2 linked regions of the Danio rerio genome follow. The protein of the gene in region 1 interacts with the protein of each later gene in a pairwise test. Links are inferred from orthologs where the notes say so. Each region holds a gene or a part of one and is shown in the gene's direction. Other genes may lie near its edges.

Region 1 (3,831 bases):
GTTTTCATTCTACAACGCCGTTTTAAAACTAAAACGCACTGGTGTAAACGGGGCCTTAAAAAAGGCATCTTTGGACATCTTTCTTTTCTTTGGATATAAAGTCAGCTACTATACTGTTCATGTCTATAGCATGTTTGGATGTTGATGCATAAACTGTTTAATTTTCAAATGTTCAATTTTTAAATGCAATTTCAGACCAAATATTCAAAGTACTATGGTAAACAATATAGGGAGCGTGTCACAAGTCATCACTGAACGAATGTGCAAATATAAAACCAACTTTACCTCAATCATGTTTACTTGTCTTGCATGTGACTACTTTGATTTCTCTCACCATAATATTTTGTTTCCAGGGACATCAACCCTCATATTCCCCAGTACATCTCGTCTGTCCCTTGGTACATTGACCCTTCAAAGAGACCCACCCTTAAGCATCAGAGACCCCAGGAAGAGAATCAGAGCAAGTTTGCGCCCATTGGAGACTGGTATAAGAGAGGTGTACAAGAAGTAAGCCCTTCTCCTGCCTATATATTTATAAGCTTTAAAGACATTTAGTGTGTAAAACCCCTTTTCATTGCCCTTCTGTCATTTAGAAATCAGTGAACACGAAATACAGAAAAGGAGCATGCGAAAACTGTGGCGCCTTGACACATAAGAAGAAAGATTGTTTGGAGGTAAGTGGTTTATACAACAATGTTATGATACATGCATGGATAGGTTGTCATTACCAAATAATGTTTGGTTTTAGGTCATTAAATTGATTTTTAAACTTAAAAAAGAAACTAATGCATACAGTTATTTAACAAGTATGCAGTACAATTCATCAAAAGAGACACTTAAGACATTTTTTAGTTTCAAATAAAAATTATTCATTAGAGAATCATGAAAAATGAGTCACAGCCTCTAAAAAACATTAACCAGCAAAACTGTTTTCAACTGATTATAATACTTTCTGGTGGAGGTCTGAACCTAGACTGGTCTCACAGTTCGGTTACGATCATCATGACATCGATTCGGTTAAATTTGATATCACGGTGCATTGATGATGCTTTCCATTCACAATTTTATATTTTACTTTACAGCACAAGAATTCTTGTATTAAAATTGATAAATGCATTTATATATTATTTGTAATACAATTTTGTCCTTTAATACAGCAGTCAGATATATGAACTGTACCTTTACTTTTACCTGCTCAAAGAAAACACTCTTTTTAAATGTATCAAACAAAACTAAAGTATATGCACAGAGGACAACATGAGCATGTATAGCAAACAAACTAATGTATATATTATCGGATTATTACATATAAAATTGCTTTTTGAGCACTGTCGAGCGAGATTTGAATTGCCTATGATTGGTCACGCGCTCAACAGAAAGGGCTGCGATTGGCTTTAACGCTTTCGCGCTGTTCATCGATGAGTGACTGATAATCAGCACGCCAGTGCTCCCCACACATAGTCTTTACTTGGGCGGGCCGCCCAGGTATATTAATGGCACTTTTACTTAGAAAAACGATACTATATACTCGGAGACGACGAAATGACGTCTAAACTGGCTGCAAAATATATGTACACCCTTAGTAATGGTTAACCAACACATTTGCTTTGTTAAAAAAAAAGTACTCTTTTAATCTTGAAATTACGATCATTTTTAGAAATACTGTCTGTCTTTACTAACTTTTCTGTCATTTATTTCTCATTTGCTGATTAGTTTATTAATTTGATGATGTTAATATATTACATATGCTATTTTATATACAATTCTAAAATGCTTTGGCATTCAAATTTACTTTGAACTTGAAGGAGAGAGAGAGAAGCAGATTTGACCTGTCAGTGGGTGCACATGGCTCCTGATTTGGCTGACATGGCTTTTTTATTTCAGTCTTTTTTAAACAGCCTTTTTTTTACTTTAATCCATTGAAAAGAAACAGTGTCATAACAAATACAACTATTATTAACAATACAATTATGTTTTGTGGCATATATTTAGCTATTTATGTGATTTGGGTAAATGTTGTGTTTTGATCCGGCTACCAAAACCTCACTCTGCAAACACGCTCATGTCTGGATCCACAAGTATCGCTGTAACAGACGAGAGGAGAGGAAATGTTACCTCATGACAGCAGGCCAAAGGTCCAGAGCAAGAGAGAAAAGCAGAAAAGGAGTTTACAGCTTTCGCTTTCTCAATAGCAGTGGAATAGGGGCTTTCGCTGTAACTTCAGTGTCAGTAATATATTGTCCACCAAACTCACAAGCAGTGAATTGTGCACAGTTGTCTGCTTTTTAAGTAGTTGAAGTATTTTAATTACTCGCGGTCGCCTCCCTCGTCAGAGTAGGCTACCGCAATATAGCGCATAAGATAAATGACGTCAGTACGCAATAACCGGTTATGATTATTACTGAACCAATACCAAATTGTCCACGTCTACATCACGGTGTATCGAAGAAACAATTATTTTGACACCCCTACTTTCTGGAGAAGCAAATCAGCATATTTAAATGGTTTCTGAAAGGGAAAATGTGACTCAATTCAAACATGGCATCAAATGAATAAATTATAATTTTGAAAAAATATATAAAACTGAAATCATTTAGTTAAAATTGTAAATTGTTGAAATTGAGAAATATTTCTATATAATAATCTTACATTAAAATGAAATTATGTCCAAAAATGTTTTTCACAGAGACCCCGAAAGGTTGGAGCAAAGTTTTCTGGCACAGGCATCGCACCGGATGAGCACCAGCAGGTTCAGCTCTCGATGGATTATGATGGAAAGAGAGATCGCTGGAATGGTTATGATCCTGATGAGCACATGCGCATTGTAGAGGAATATTCTAAAGTGGATCTGGTGAGTCAAACATACTGTTGGATATGTTTGTGTGTTTATGTTCATTCCATAATAATGACCAGGGTAAGAAATGAGCGGATATAGACCATGATGATGCATTTACATTAACATTTGTGGATCTTATGTTACACAATTATAGTTTTGGCAATAGTCAAAATTATTAATATTTCCTTTATGCCCAAAATCATTAAAAATATTAAGTAAAAAATTATGTTCATTTGAAGACATTTTATGAATTCCTTACTATAAATTTATAAAAATATAATCTTTAAAGTGATTTTTCTCATTATTTTTTATTTATCTTTTTAAACCTTCTGATTGCAGATTTCAAATATTTTTATCAATCAAATTTTGTCCTATCCTAATAATGTATACATCTTATTTAGTCAGTTTTTTTTTGCTGTGTATCAGTTTCAATATAAATCAAAATGACTGGTTTTGTGCTCTAAGGTCACGTTTATTGATTCAGCAGATGTTTTTGAGCGACTTACAATCAAGGATAAAGGAAGCATGTCTAATTATTATCTAATTTTATCCCCACAGGCAAAGCGCACTCTCAAAGCTCAGAAACTCCAAGAGGAGTTAGCATCTGGTAAACTAATGGATCAAGCTGTAAGTCTTTACAATATACTTTATTTTCTAGATGTTTTTACACATTCATTTTTTAAGCATGTGATATTTGTCACGTAAAAATGTGTGCTATAAAGTTTGATTTGATTACATTTATTATCTGTGTTTATAATTCTATATGTTTCAATCTTGCAGAACTCACGAAAGCATGAGGAAGCAGTACAGGTATATATCATGATGTGCAGCTGGATTATAAAATAAAACTCAATGTTAAAAGCCACTAACTTGATTCAACTTTTTTCCCTGAACAGGACCACAGCAGTGAAGATGAAGATGAGGACAAATATGTTGATGACTTTGACATGCCTGGACAAAACTTTGACTCCAAGAGAAGAATCACAGTTAGAAAC
Region 2 (4,404 bases), on another chromosome or scaffold:
CAGCATCATAAAACATGTTCTTTTCAGATGTTAATAGAAATATGGAGTGAAGCTGGGATTAATTTGGGTCAATCTCTGACATGGTGCACGTAGTTTTGATTGAGAAAGTTTATATTCACACATTTGTTCGTTTTTAACAGTGACAACTTGTAACGCTATGCTGAATATATGATCTGAAATCGCACGCAAGTATGACTTCAAAACAACATTAGCACTATTTCATTGACTGTAAACACTGTTGTACCTTAATAGGCATGGCTGCTAATAATGTATGATCTCCCTGTTTAGAATAAGGAAAGAATACTTTTCTGAAATTAAAATTAAGATGAAAAAGTCTGAATGTGCGATTATAAAACCAACTTTACCTTAAAGTGGTTTTGTTTATGTTTTTTATATATATGTATACAGGGTTCATACAGTCATGGAAAACCTGGAAAAGTCATGGAATTTTGACATGGCATTTTTTAGGCGTGCAAATGTTTTGGAAAAACAGAAAAACCCACAAGGTTTTGGAAAAGTCATGGAAATTACATTTACATTTAGTCATTTAGCAGACTCTTTTGTCCAAAATGACTTAAACTGCGGTCACACTAGAGCTTGTACTTGCGAAATTCTGTCGTATGCGAAAAGGGGTGAGGTTAAACAATATGATCAGATGTTAATAAAACTGCGCGATTGCTCCATCTTTTAATTTTTTTTATTTTAGATTATATTCTATTGGTCTAACGCAATCACCTGCTGTGATTTCACAGGTAAGAATTCACCAAGCTTGAACTTTCGAATGCGAATGAAATGCAAAACTTGTCGCGCGTGCTTGTGTGTTCTGGTCTGCCGCCTTCGCATGCCTATAATTGGAAGTCCATGGAGCAAAAAGTGCAGTGTGATCGCGGCTTTAAAATAGATGTAGTTTACCTACTATTACTAGTTTAACAAAATATTAACATCCTCTTAAATTAATTTGACAAATATCGATATTTGTCAAACTAATTTAAGAGGATGTTAATAGTTACAGATCTGTGTGCTGAAATAGAGGTTAGATGTTTTTACTTCTTTTCTTGACAAAAAACATGGTCTCACATCATTACTGCTGTGTAAGCATCATCTATTTTATATAAAAATAAATTGAAACTAAAGAGATTGTTGCGTGCTTTATGATTTGCTGTAATAAATGTAAACGTTTATTGTTTTTCTTATGATTTATCGCGTATACGTAGACATTGCATGAAATATTAGGTCATGATGAAAATTGACTTGAAAGTCCTGGAATAATCATGGAACTCTTGTAGGAAAAATGTGTATGAATCCTGTCTTTATGTAGACTGATTTTATGTTTACTTGACTGCCGAACTGCAGACACTGAAACAGATCTATGAAGACGCGAGTGTGAAATGGGAACCATAGTTCTTAGCGTTAAGTACATTCGGATGTTTTACAGTGAAACACAAACACAGAAGGCGGTACGCTTGCTTGTAGCACCGTGCTGTTTGTATGAGCTTGCATCATTTTACTCGTCTCTTTAGAACATGGTAAGATCACTATTATACATTTATATTATTAACGTGTAAGTCAAGTGTTTTGAGTCGTTTATATTTTAGTCCACATATTAAATCTAACATTTTGCCGCTCTGAAGTTATTTGTTTAATGGACAGACTGACCTTACAGTGTGGTAAATTATTTTATTGAGAGAATTTTATTCGGTGGCTTGACGAACAAAAAACTTTTTTTGCATGTAGCTTTCAGTTTTTAGGTTTTTAGGCTTTTATCTGTAACTTTTGTGTTTAATTGAGGTAAAGTTGGTTTTATATTCGCACATTAGTTTAGTGACAGCTCCATACATAGTGTACCATACTTTGAATATTCGCACTGAAAACAGATTTAAATAGGGATTCAAATCAACATTAGCACTATTTAATTGACTATTTAATCTTTGTGAACAGTGTTGTACTTCATTAAGGCGAAGTTGGTTTTATATTAGCGCACATTCCGACTTTCTGATTTATATAATCTTAGTAAAGCATTAATGGCAAATTCTAAATAGGGAAATCATATCAACAGCCAACAACCATGGAAGTACAACACTGTTCACAGTCATTTGAATAGTGCTAATGTTGTTTTGAAGTCTTATTTACAGTCCGAATATTCAAAGTACCATGGTAAACAATGTATGGAGCTGTCACTAAGCGAATGTGCGAATATAAAACCAACCAATTTCCTCAATTGAAAACGAAAGTTGCAGAAAAAAAGTACAATTCAAAATTTATTTAGGATGTTTTCGAAAGACCAAAGCCCAAAAATCAACTTTACCTTAATTTGTACTTCGATGGTTGTTAGCTGCTGATATGATTCTCTATTTAGAATTTGCTATTAATGATTTACTGAGGTTATATAATTAATGAGAAAGTCGAAATGAGGGAATACAAAACCCACTTTACCTCAATATTCGGATTTCATCTTAATGTAATTTCAGAAGAGTATTGTTTGCAAATTCAATAGGTATTTGAATTTAAAGAGCCGACTTTTATTCATATCTATATTCTGACGTTGTTGTTTTTTTTTTACTGAGGGGTATGTTTATACATAATGTTACCTGCTCAAATTGAACAAATGTTATTTTCTAGCTGTTTTCTGAATTGAGGAGTTCAAAAAATTATTCCTAAAATCAGCTTTGTAAAACCAGGCTCTGATATGTTGAGGAAAATTATAATTTGAATTTATCTAATATTCTGATTTTTTTTTTTTGTGCTAGAAATATCTGGAGATTAGCTCATACTCAATAAAATAATGTTTGCAATACTTAATGTAGTCAGTCAGGCGGGGACCTATGATGATGATAACTATTAATTGAATAACAGCAATTTTATTGTATTAATAAGCTGATCTGATCATCTCTTAGGCTGTCACACTGCACACAGACCTCGGCGATATGAAAATAGAGCTGTTCTGTGAGAAAGCCCCGAAGAGCTGTGAAGTAACACTACTTTTTTCCTTGTTTCCACATACATAATATCGCTGTATTGCAGCCTTGTTGCTTTTGTACCATCTTTATTTTACATTAATTCCAATGACATTTCCCCCTAGAATTTCCTTGCACTGTGCGCCGGTGGGTTTTACAACGGCTGTATTTTCCATCGAAATATAAAAGGCTTTATAGTCCAGACTGGAGACCCAACAGGTAACTAATCTAAGATTTCTTTCTTTCTTTCTTACATTATGGGACATTTTTTTGTGATTTTATATAGCTTAAGGCAAATTAAATATAAGTGACTGTGTTATTGTTTAAAATAACTTTAGTGAACATATATGAGAAATAATGTTCTGTCTTCATGAACAATGTATTCATTCATTTTTTTATCGGCTTAGTCCCCTTATTAATCTGGGGTCGCTGGTTCGAGTTTGACTGGGTCAGTCGGCATTTCGGTGTGGAGTTTGCATGTTCTCCGCGTGTTGGTGTGGGTTTCCTCTGGGTGCTCTGGTTTCCCCCACAGTCCAGAGACATGCGCTATAGGTGATTTGATTAAGCTAATTTGTCTGTAGTGTATGCGTGTGAATGACTGTGTATGGATGTTTCCCAGTACTGGGTTGCAGCTGAAAGGGCATCCGCTGCATAAAACATATGCTGGATATGTTGGCGGTTCATTCCGCTGTGGTGACCAGGGGACTAAGCCGAAGGAAAATAAATGAATGGATTGTTATGCTCAACAGGGTTGCCAGGTTTTCAAAGCAAAAGTTAGCCAATGGCCAATCAAAACTCTCCCAATCCTTAAACTCAGAATTTGCCATTCTCGTAAGTAAAAATAATAATTTAAATCACTGAATGGATTAAAAAATATATAGTTTTTCTTTTTTTTATTTTTAATTACTGTATATTGGTATTGGTAAATATTCGTTTTTCATAAATAAAATAATCTTACCTTCAAATTGACAGCTGATAAAGCAAATCCTCCGGCTGGTTGTGGTTTTTCCTCTTTGAATATATTTTACATCTCTGTATGCATTACACACATTTTCTTTTAAAAACACTTTTATTAGTAATTATAAAGATTAAATGAAATATGCTGTTTTAGTCATTATTTAGCAAAAATCCAGGAGAGTCCTGCCAACTGTTACTATATAATCAAAAAAAACCTGGGAAAACTGCAGACTTGTCAACACTGATGCTGAATGACTCCTTATTCCGTGTCTTATAACTACTAGTGTCCAAGTTTGATCTACTTTTGGGCTTCTCAATACTTTCAGTAAAACAAAACAAGTATTTAAAAAAATGTGTAGAAGAATTACAAAATGAGAAGCTGAGTTACACTTTTACTTGAATTATCACTTTTAATTGAAATTAAGTATTAACTTTTTATATTGTCATTGCATCAGAATGGTACAAATGCTGACTGGTTTTGATGTTTGCCATG

Evidence for each region.
Region 2: the proteins of slu7 (region 1) and ppil3 interact in binary tests that used the Homo sapiens proteins (3 or more experiments, as listed by UniProt). The link is inferred for Danio rerio from reciprocal best matches to the Homo sapiens genes SLU7 and PPIL3.

The regions. Positions count from the first base shown.
Region 1 is NC_133189.1:50,631,489-50,635,319, forward strand, and holds part of slu7 (pre-mRNA-splicing factor SLU7), read left to right. Parts: intron 1-353; coding exon 354-507; intron 508-593; coding exon 594-674; intron 675-2,686; coding exon 2,687-2,851; intron 2,852-3,394; coding exon 3,395-3,463; intron 3,464-3,616; coding exon 3,617-3,646; intron 3,647-3,732; coding exon 3,733-3,831. UniProt on the Homo sapiens protein: Required for pre-mRNA splicing as component of the spliceosome. Participates in the second catalytic step of pre-mRNA splicing, when the free hydroxyl group of exon I attacks the 3'-splice site to generate spliced mRNA and the excised lariat intron.
Region 2 is NC_133180.1:70,779,046-70,783,449, forward strand, and holds the start of ppil3 (peptidyl-prolyl cis-trans isomerase-like 3), read left to right. Parts: upstream 1-1,447; 5' UTR 1,448-1,523; coding exon 1,524-1,526; intron 1,527-2,894; coding exon 2,895-2,969; intron 2,970-3,079; coding exon 3,080-3,173; intron 3,174-4,404. UniProt on the Homo sapiens protein: PPIases accelerate the folding of proteins. It catalyzes the cis-trans isomerization of proline imidic peptide bonds in oligopeptides. May be involved in pre-mRNA splicing.